3 linked regions of the Mus musculus genome follow. The protein of the gene in region 2 interacts with the protein of the main gene of each other region in a pairwise test. Links are inferred from orthologs where the notes say so. Each region holds a gene or a part of one and is shown on either strand. Other genes may lie near its edges.

Region 1 (3,748 bases), on a different chromosome or scaffold from region 2:
GGATGGTTGTGAGCTACCATGTGGTTGCTGGGAATGGAACTCAGGTCCTTCAGAAGAGCAGTCAGTGCTCTTAACCACTGAGCCATCTCTCCAGCCCTAGAGTTTCTGATTTAATTTGCTTCTCTGTTGCTGTAATAAAACACTGCCCGCCAAGAGTAACTGGGGGAGGAGAGGGTTTATTTGCGCTGCAGGGTTCCGGCATCAGGACCTCAAGGCAGGAGCTTGAAGTAGCAATCATGGAGAGACATTATTTACTGGCTGGCTTCCAGACTTGCATTCTGCTATCTTTCTTATACAACCCATTACTACCTGCCCAGGGGATCACCTCCCACAGTGGGTTGGGCTCTCGCCTCCATCAATTAGCTATCAAGAATATACCCCACAGACCAATCAGATGCAGGCAATTCCTCAGTCGAGATTTCCTTTTCCCAGACATCTCTAGATTGTGTTGACAAAAATTAACCAGCACAGCTTCACAGATGATGAAATGCTTGTGCTGCCCAAGTGGCAGAGCAGTAGAGGAAGGACTGTAACAGGATCTCTGGGCAAAGGCACAAGGGTGCAACTGTCATTTCTATTACAGCCTGTTGTCTCCTTAAGAAGGGTTCGGCGCCTAGAATAGTGCCAGGGCTCCACGTGAGCTAGAAAAGTGTGTCAGCATGGTTTTTAGGAGTATAGACTGGATCAGAGTAGTGGAGGTAGGCTGAGAGGTCAGAAGATGGACAGGCCTTCCTAAGGTCATGGAGAAGTAGTTGGAGCCAGAGGCCATGTACAGACACAAGAGGTGGAATCAGTTAACTGTGCTTCCCGCAGAGCGTTAAAAGGAAGGCCAGGAGTAAACCAGACTAGGGAGAGAAAACACAGAGCCCAATAATGTTTAGGAGTTTAAGCTCTAGGAGGCCTGGTGACACCCTGAGAAATGGAGGACAGTGACATGTGCCCATCTGCAAGCAAAATGGTTGGAGCAGTGAGAAACCGAGAATGGCGGTTGCCGAGAGAACACGCGTGGGTAGTGCAGCCTCAGCAGACACACTCAGGGGTTGCATGTGGGAGGAGGGGCTCCCAGACTTGAGGACTGGAGAAAGCATTAGCAACCTGACAGAACCGGGTTAACAAAGGAAGGACTACATCTCCCAGCATGCTCGGGTTCGGTGGGGTGACGGCTGGCGGTGGCTGCGCCGCATCCGACTGGTGGGCGCGGGACCTGGGTGGGCACCGGAGCCTGTCATCCCTGAGGGGTCCGTGGGGTGCGGGCGGCGATGCACCGCTGTCCCTCGCCCAAGGGCCGCGCCGGGCTCTTGTTCCCCGCCCCGCGGCCCCGCCCCTTGCCCCACCCCAGACGGGAGACCTAACCCGGGCCGCAGCGCAGCGGCCGCAGCAACATCACTCTCACCGCCGCTGTTCCGCCCCATCCTTTTCTGTTTTTCTCTCATTCTCCGGTGGCGGCGGCGGGGAAGGCGAAGGAGAGGCAACAGCAGCCAGCCTTGGCTGCAATGAATGATCCTCCACCCGGAGGGGAGGACTCCAGGTGAGCCTCTGACCTCGGGAGGATCGGGACCCTCCGAGCCGCCCAGGACTCGCATCCCCCGCCATGGATCCCTAGGGGAAGGGAAAAAGGAGGAGGAAAAGACAGCTCTGCCGCCCACCCCCATCTCATTTTCCTCTTCCTTTATCTCATTGTTGCCGAAGCTGTAGCCGTAGCGCTCACTCTTGCTCCAGCATGGGGTGGATTCCAGGCACTACCCTTCGGCAGGAGCAGCTTGCGCGGTAACCTAGGGATTCTGCCTAATTCTACCTCTCCAGACTGTGCACAGAAAGCCGCGGAGAGCTGTGGAGGCCTGGACTGCAGCAGTCTCGGGGCCAACTCCCTGCATCCCCACCCTGGTAGGCTGCATGCGGATTGAAGAGAGGTGCCTGAGGGCTGGGCCAGCCCGACTGATCCCGACCTAGGAGTAGGGCAGAAGGACCGCCCAGGCTGCAGAGCGGCCCACCTGGAAGGACAGAGGTGCAAGATGGCCAGTAAGACCAAGGCCAGCGAGGCCCTGAAGGTGGTGGCCCGGTGCCGCCCCCTCAGTAGGAAGGAGGAGGCTGCTGGTCATGAGCAGATTCTGACCATGGACGTGAAACTGGGCCAGGTGACTCTGCGAAACCCCCGCGCGGCACCCGGGGAGCTGCCCAAGACCTTCACTTTTGATGCTGTGTATGATGCTAGCTCCAAGCAGGCCGACCTGTATGACGAAACGGTGAGGCCCCTGATAGACTCAGTGCTTCAGGGTTTCAACGGCACCGTATTTGCCTATGGCCAGACTGGCACTGGCAAGACCTACACCATGCAGGGGACCTGGGTGGAGCCAGAGCTCCGCGGGGTTATCCCGAATGCCTTTGAGCACATCTTCACCCACATCTCCCGCTCCCAGAACCAGCAGTACCTGGTTCGTGCTTCCTACTTGGAGATCTACCAGGAGGAGATCCGAGACCTGCTATCCAAGGAGCCAGGCAAGAGGCTAGAGCTGAAGGAGAATCCTGAAACAGGGGTCTACATCAAGGACCTCTCTTCCTTTGTCACCAAGAATGTCAAGGAGATTGAGCATGTGATGAACCTGGGGAACCAAGCCCGAGCAGTGGGCAGCACCCACATGAATGAGGTCAGCTCTCGGTCCCATGCCATCTTTGTTATCACAGTGGAGTGCAGTGAGCGTGGCTCTGATGGCCAGGATCATATCCGAGTAGGCAAGCTCAACCTGGTAGACCTGGCCGGCAGTGAGAGACAGAACAAGGCTGGTCCCAACGCAGCTGGAGGGCCAGCCACACAGCCAACAGCTGGTGGTGGGAGTGGAAGTGGCAGCGCTAGTGGTTCTGCCAGCAGCGGAGAGAGGCCTAAGGAAGCTTCTAAAATCAATCTCTCGCTGTCCGCCCTGGGCAATGTGATTGCTGCTCTGGCTGGCAACAGGAGCACCCACATCCCCTACCGGGACTCCAAGCTAACCCGGCTGCTCCAAGACTCACTGGGGGGCAATGCCAAGACCATCATGGTGGCCACACTGGGTCCAGCTTCTCACAGCTACGACGAGAGCCTCTCTACCCTGCGCTTTGCCAACCGAGCCAAGAACATCAAGAACAAACCGCGGGTGAACGAGGACCCCAAGGACACACTGCTGAGGGAATTCCAGGAAGAGATCGCTCGCTTGAAGGCCCAGCTGGAGAAGAAGGGGATGCTGGGCAAGCGACCTCGGAGAAAGAGCAGTCGTAGAAAGAAGGCCGTGTCTGCCCCAGCCGGCTATCCAGAGGGGTCCGTGATTGAGGCCTGGGTGGCCGAAGAGGAAGATGATAACAACAACAATCACCACCCACCCCAGCCCATCTTGGAGGCAGCTTTGGAGAAGAACATGGAGAATTACCTGCAGGACCAGAAGGAACGGCTGGAGGAGGAGAAGGCTGCCATCCAGGATGACCGCAGCCTTGTGAGTGAGGAGAAGCAGAAGCTTCTAGAAGAGAAGGAGAAGATGCTGGAGGATCTACGGCGGGAGCAGCAGGCTACAGAGCTGCTTGCAGCCAAGTACAAGGTAAGGTCCCCAGACAATGCGAGTACTTTGATTGGTAGATTTTCATTTGAGGGTCTGTGAGTTGGCCTGAGTGGGATATCCCACCTCAGGACCACACACTGATGACTGCTCCGGAGCAGCTAAGCAAAGTACCATAATACTAGGTAGCTAGGTGCACTTACATGCGAGCATCCACACCAAGCAAA
Region 2 (3,648 bases):
AAAGATTTGATTAAATATTCCTTAAAATTAACTAGCTGGGTTAACAATAAGCCAAGTTACCCAAGAGTCAAAAAGAGAAAAAAAAGTACTTTAGACTGTTTTATGAATATTCTTCCAACATCAGCAATCCCTCAACAAAAACAGTTCAACAGAAGACTTCAGTCCTGGTATGAAGTGAACAAAGAGAACCACATGTTTTTAATGACTGCTCACAACAACCCAAGTACCTCTCCAACAGAACAGAACAGAACAGCGGAGGCTCGCTGTGCTATTCCCTTCAGAATTCTCAGGGCTGATCCAACAGAGAAGAGTCACTGGACTTCACAGCAGCACTCACGCTGTGACATTTGTTTGCTGTCATGAAAGTTAGAGCCTCAGCAGAGTAAGTGAGATTCAAGTTAGAGCCTCAGCAGAGTAAGTGAGATTCAGGGGGATTATCCTCTTCATTTTAAACAACATTAAGATGTCCTTGATCTGCAGCAGAGAGAGTTTACCCACCTCAAACTGAGATTTTTCAAACAAAGTGAGAGATTGAAGTATTTATATATAAATGTTACAAGAAAGCATTCCAAACAGCCTACCAATCAATTACAAAGTTGGCCTTAGATCTATAACTGTCATTTGTAAGAAAAGAAGCCTGCACGACACAAAGTATAACCTACAATTTAACCACTCGTGTTCTGTCTCCGAGAGCTTTCATTATGAATTAAAACAGAGCAACAGTGCCACCTGCTGGAAGTCATAAAACTACAACACTCATGGCCCTGGCACTGCAAGAATTACATTACAAAGACTAATTTCCTAACTCTACAAGCACAAAGGTATGACAATAAGTGGTCATAAAGATTCATATTAGAAGACACTGTTTTTTCCTGTTCATTTCTCTAGTTCCACACAGCCCCAACTACCACAATTAATTCTAATATCTAGATTTAACCCTAAACAAAAATACTCTCAAATTTACTTTCTATAAAGAAAAACTAACAATCACATGAAAGAGGAAGCTTAGGTCATTTTCTGCATCCAGTGTCCTGAAGAATCCCTTTTCCCTTCTCTATTCCATCTTGGCCTCAGACACATCCCTAAAGACCACGAGTAAGAGTCTAGAAAGCATGCTGTGTGTGGTGGCTCACATCTTTATTCACACTGGAGAGGCAGAGGTAGGCAGATGTCTGAGCTTGAGACCAACCTGATCTACACAGTAAGTTCCAGTGATAGGCATAGTGACACAGTAAGACCCTGTCAAAAACAACAACAACAACCAGAACCCACAAGGCAGCCTGGCAGTCTGTGTTATTTACATGCCACTGCAAAATGTCTACAGAGATTCTGGAATTCAGAACATGAACATTCTATTAAGAAACCACTGCTGTTAATAGGCTTCAATGCATCACAGACATAGGAAATCACAGAGCCACTGTCTGCATAGCAACTCCACTCTAACTCAACTGCAGGATACACAAAAATGTACTGAGTTTCTGTAAATGTCGGTGCTCTGTGAGCTATAGATCAAAACTCCCACTGCTGTGATCTCACTGACCCATCTTGACTTTAGTAACTCCTTCTCCCTCCCTCACGTAAATAAAGGTTCTGATTGAGGGAAGAGTACCCAGCAAAGTGTTCAAGAACTACAAAGCAATCAGCTGTCCAGCCCTAGTACTTAAGTCACCAGACGTATTAACTGGCTCACAATTTCAACTGAATTGGAATTTTAAAAGGATACCAAGGGCAATGAAGATAGCAGGTAAAAGTGAATGCAGCGCAAGCCTAGCAGCAGGAATTCAAGGCAAACCCCACTTAGAAGGAAATGAAAGAACTGCCTCCACAAAGCTTTCCTCGAGCACTTACATACACATCATACACACAATAATAATCGATTTTTAAACATATAAGCAAATGGATACCAACCTCAAGTCTCTTTTCAAGTGATTCAATTCTGTCCTTTTTGCTAGCAAGATTAGCACGAGTGTAGCGGCTCTGAGCAGGAAGATAGAGGACTTGACTGTAGCATTCCTCCCACACCTGGTTGTAAGCTTCACTGGAGAGTTCGCCATGGCTCATTCCTTGTTTGACCACTTCCATCTCTTGTACCAGAGCATCCTGGGCCTGTTTACAGTAATAATTTAAGTTGAAGCATACACTTTCTACCACCATAAAGCTCAAGACTAGCTTATTTCCTCCTTCCTTAAACCAATGGTAAGGTTTGGTTGGTTGTTCTCTAGAAGGGGATGGACAATACCTGAGCTAAATAGCCTCTAAGTAGGGGCTAGGGAGATGACTCCATGGGTAAGAGTAGCTACTTTGCAAACTTGAAGACCTGAGTTTGAATCCCCAGAACCCATTTAAAAGGGGGGGGGGGGGCAGGGAGAAAACCACAGACATGACCATGTGCCTATAGTTCAGCCAGCCAACTCAGCAACAGCAAGCTTTTGGTTCGGTGAAAAAAAAAACAATACAGACTATATCCTATGTCTCAAGGACACAGAGCTGAGGGTGATAAATATAACCTATGTCCTCTAGCATGCACATGGGCATATACACATACAACACACACATACACATACAACACATACATACACATACAACACACACATACAACACACACATACACATACAACACACACATACAAGGATACACAGAGAAAGAAAGATCTAAGGGCTCCAAGATAAACTGATTTTAAAAAGTCAAGTATTCGTGGTTTCCCAAGAGCACCAACACCGCTATTATTCATTATACAGCAACATCTCTCAAGTACATACCAGTCACTAAAGGTCAGAAACTGGACAACTCTCATTACCTCCAAAAACTTTAACCATGGCAGATATAAAGCATGAGAGTCCAAAGCCAGCCTAGTCTACAGAGCAAATTCCAGAACCAGGGTGACATAGTAAGACTTTCTCTTTTTTTGTTTGTTTGATTGGTTGGTTTTTTTGAGAGAGGGTTTCTCTGTATAGCCCTGGCTGTCCTGGAACTCACTTTGTAGACCAGGCTGGCCTCGAACTCAGAAATCCACCTGCCTCTGCCTCCTGAGTGCTGGGATTAAAGGCGTGTGCCACCACGCCCTGCTGTAAGACTTTCTCTTAAAAAAGAAAAAAAACATATAACCACTTTACAAACTAGCCAATATTGACTTCATTTTAAAGCTAGTGAAACTACTGAAATTAAACAACTTGTCCAGAACCATACCAGTAGTAATCAACTGAGGCAGGCTCCTAAGCCAGAGGCACCACTGCTGGCTTAGGGGTGCTCCACCCCACCGTCTCCTCATGTCACAAGGTGAAAGGGTGAAAGGCTCTCTACTAAAGAAACACTTTTAGATGGCAGAATGAGAGAGAAGGAACTGAGCAGGCTAGGGTTCAATCACTGCTTCCCTGTTTAAGTGGCTGCCTGCAATACTTAACTCCTCTGAGCCCAATTCTCAACTGTAAAATGGGCTCTGGGTTACAAGACAGCTCAGCAGGTAAAGGCACTGACCACGAAACATGACACCCTGAGTTCAAAAACCTTAATCCAACAAAGTGGAAATGACTCATACCAAGTTGTCCTCTTACCTCTACACATTAACAACAGCACATCCCACTCAAACATACATACAATGTTTTTTAAAAATGCAGTTTTAAAAAACTGAGTAAAAAATGTTTAACAAG
Region 3 (3,648 bases), about 1.4 Mb from region 2:
GACACTCTCAGCTGCTGTGAACTCAGGTCCTTTGGTAGAGCAGCAAGCACTCGTGGCCTTTGAACCACCTCTCCAGCCCCTGGAGTTTGTATCTTGCTGTGATCCCAGTAGTGTCTGAGTGCATTCGCTCCATACCGCAGCGGGCTCGTCCCCTGTGGCCTCACTGCTGCCTTCCTTTGCTGTAGTCTCCTTTCTCCAACACCTAGTCTTCTTTTTTGTTCTATTTGTTTGTTTTTAGGTTTTTTGTTTGTTTTTTGAGACAGGGTTTCTCTATATAGTCCTGGCTGTCCTAAAACTTACTCTTTTAGACCAGGCTGGCATCTAATTCAGAGATCCACCTGCCTCTGCCTCCCAAGTGGGGATTAAAGGCATGTGCTACCATCACCTACTTTGTCTTTTTGTTTTGTTTTTTTGTTTTTGTTTTTTCGAGACAGGGTTTCTCTGTATAGCTCTGGCTGTCCTGGAGCTCACTTTGTAGACCAGGCTGGCCTCGAATTCAGAAATCCGCCTGCCTCTACTTTGTCTTTTTTTAATATTTTTAAACTTTTATGTATATGGTTGTTTTGCCTACATATACATGCCTGATGCTCAAAGAGCCCAGAAGAGGGCGTCAGATCTCCTTTGGGGGGGGGGGGGTTGTTGTTTGTTTGTTTGTTTTTCAAGACAGGGATCTCTCTGTAGCCCTGGCTGTCCTGGAACTCACTCTGTTGACCAGGCTGGCCTTGAACTCAGAAATCCACCTGCCTCTGCCTCCTGAGTGCTGGGATTAAAGGCCTGCGCCACAGATCTCCTTGAACTGGAGTTACAGGTGGTCATGAGCCGCTTCATGAATGCTGGGGCTCGCACCACATCCTCTGCAAGAGCAGCCAGTGCTCCTGACCGCTTCAGGGTCTCTTTGTCCCCAGTTGTGATGTCATTTTGGTTTTTTTGTTTTTTTTTGTTTGTTTGTTTGTTTTTGTTTTTTGTTTTTGTTTTTTCGAGACAGGGTTTCTCTGTATAGCCCTGGCTGTCCTGGAACTCACTTTGTAGATCAGGCTGGCCTGGAACTCAGAAATCCGCCTGCCTCTGCCTCCTGAGTGCTGGGATTAAAGGCGTGTGCCACCACGCCCGGCTGTGATGTCATTTTGGTTGTTAAAATAAAGCTTCACTCTGAAGCCCAGGCCATGCCAGAATTCATGATATTGAACTCAGGGTAATTACCCGAGTCAGGGCGGGGGTTACAGGCAGGAGCCCCCAGGCCTAGCTGTTCTTTTCTGACAGTTTAACATTAAGGTTAGGCCTGCCTTGGCTAAGGCATTCATAAATACACTGTGTGGACTGAGAGGAATGGAGAAGTCTGGAAGGAACGCTGGGTATGGACCAGGAGCCACAGAAGGCCAGTGTTAGAGGATCTGTTTCTAGCCCTTTTCTGAGGAACTGAAATCTCTGTCTTTGGTAAAATAGTTTGTGATGACTCTGTCAGTTTGTCATGTCTTGCGTGATGAGAGCCTGAATACCGGTGTCAACTAGATGGCACCCTCTTTTTCCATCTTAGCCTCCATCCCTGTAGCTCAGGATCGGAGGTGTGATGGGTGCTCTGTGCATCCTGTCTAGTTTTCTAGATGAAGCCGCCTCTTCCTTTCTCCCTTCAGGGAAGCCACTGTGGTCTCTACCTCAGCTCCTCACAAATGCTTCTGGAACCTGGCAAAGCCCAACTCTTCACTCAGACATAGCTCCTCCAAGCCCTTCTGTCCTTCCAGGCAGCTAACGTGTGTGCCTTTTTGCCATTTGCTTTATGTTCTGGGAGAAGTGGTGGGGTCCTCACACCTGTCTATTAACTCTATCACTCAGAGACAGGTTGTCCCCTTTGCCACAAAGTCCACTGCTCTCAGGAAGGAAGCAGGTTGAAGCTGGAACTTTTATTTTCAGAGCAGTTAGTTCCCAAAAGAAACACTGGGGAGTAGGCTTGTAACTCACTTGGTAAGGTACCTCCTCTGCATACAGCTTCCTGTGTGGAAGCTGGCCCAGGAAGCTGGGCTACTTGAAGAAGATTCTCCTCTCTTAAGTTGTCTCTGAGAGTTTCTGAGGGAAGGGTCATGAGTGGAGTGGGCGGGAAGATAAGCAGAAGAGGGCAAGGGGTGGGGCTAGCCAGGACTGCAGGGTTGCCTTTGTGCCTGCCCAATCGAGAGGCTTTGCCCTGTGCTAGTTCTCTGACCGCTAAAGTTCTTTCTGATCTCCTTTCCAGAGGGTTTTCAGGCCGATTTCTGTTGTTCCTTCAAACTTGACGAAGCTGTACCTGAGACCCCGCTTGACAGGAGTGACCAGCATCGCAGCAAAACCAGCTCGCTCCATCAGGTGCCCAGGGCCCAAAGCAGAGACCGAGCCAAGCCAGGCATGGCAGAAGCAACGAATCATGACCAGTTTCATCTAGTGCCTAACCACATCGTGGTCTCTGCAGAGGGAAACATTTCTAAAAAGTCAGAAGGCCACAGTAGAACACTGAAATTTGACAGAGGGGTCTTAGGCCAATACCGGGGTCCGCCTGAGGACAAGGGCGGCCGGAGGGACCCTGCCAAGGTCAGCAGGTGCTCTCCGGGCCCCGAGGGCCACCGCAAAAGCTTGCCCAGGCCAGATCACGGCTCTGAGAGCAAGCTCCCCGGCGTCCTGGCCAGCTCGCACATGGAGATGCCCTGTCTCGACTCCTTCCAGGACAAAGCGCTGAGGAATTCCCCAAAGAATGAGGTTTTACACACAGACATCATGAAAGGGTCGGGTGAGCCCCAGCCAGATCTCCAGCTCACCAAGAGCCTAGAGAAAACCTTTAAGAACATCCTGGAACTCAAGAACTCGGGGCGGCCGCCAAGCGACCCTACGGCCAGCGGTGCGGCGGACCTGGACTTCCCCAGCTTTTCTCCAATGGCTTCGCAGGAAAACTGCCTAGAAAAATTCATCCCGGACCACAGTGAAGGCGTTGTAGAAACGGACTCCATTTTAGAAGCAGCTGTAAATAGTATTCTAGAGTGTTAATAGCAGCCGTCCTCCTCCAGACCCTGCCCCGGACCAGTTACACTCTCTCCCAGCAAAGCAAATGGAAACGGCTCCCGTCTGTCTCCAGCCTGCTTGGTCCTCCATCACAGGTTATCCTTTCTAATCTCACCCTGTTCTTTTGAAGAGCAATACATGTCGTCATGGCTGCGGGGAGACCCCTCAGTACACCCACCTCTCTCTAGAAAGCAGTCCGATAGGCCCTCCACATTTCAAGTGTTACGAAAGTGCTTACGGCCATTGTTGTTCGTTAATTTGTTTTGTGGTTTGTTTCTTAGCACTGTCGCTCAAGACCACAGTACACTTGGCCCTGGGTAAAATTTTGACAATCATAAGTCATTTCAAAAGAACAGACTTATTAAAGAAAAATCAAACAGGACTGATTTAAAGACTTTCTCACTGCAGCTCCAAAGTAGTGGTTTGGTTTTGTTCTGTTCCAGGGGGAGAGGGTATCTGCGTAGGGAAGACTCTCCCTGACCAGCCCGCTGAGTGGTGGGTAGCCGGTGCTCTGCCTGGAAGCCCACCGCCCTGGCTAAGACGCCAGGAGCACAGCCACAGAGCATCCTCCTGACATCCAGTGCTGTGCGATGCTGCAAAAGCAAAGCCTTGTGTTTGTCTTCAACA

What was found.
Region 1: the proteins of Cdc5l (region 2) and Kif3c interact in a two-hybrid assay, tested with the Homo sapiens proteins (2 studies listed by BioGRID and IntAct). The link is inferred for Mus musculus from reciprocal best matches to the Homo sapiens genes CDC5L and KIF3C.
Region 3: the proteins of Cdc5l (region 2) and Bicral interact in a two-hybrid assay, tested with the Homo sapiens proteins (2 studies listed by BioGRID and IntAct). The link is inferred for Mus musculus from reciprocal best matches to the Homo sapiens genes CDC5L and BICRAL.

What each region holds. Positions count from the first base shown.
Region 1 is NC_000078.6:3,363,969-3,367,716, forward strand, and holds the start of Kif3c (kinesin-like protein KIF3C), read left to right. Parts: upstream 1-1,163; 5' UTR 1,164-2,012; coding exon 2,013-3,563; intron 3,564-3,748.
Region 2 is NC_000083.6:45,402,686-45,406,333, forward strand, and holds part of Cdc5l (cell division cycle 5-like protein), read right to left. Parts: intron 2,107-3,648; coding exon 1,909-2,106; intron 1-1,908.
Region 3 is NC_000083.6:46,800,406-46,804,053, reverse strand, and holds part of Bicral (BRD4-interacting chromatin-remodeling complex-associated protein-like), read left to right. Parts: intron 1-2,224; coding exon 2,225-3,006; 3' UTR 3,007-3,648. UniProt on the Homo sapiens protein: Component of SWI/SNF chromatin remodeling subcomplex GBAF that carries out key enzymatic activities, changing chromatin structure by altering DNA-histone contacts within a nucleosome in an ATP-dependent manner.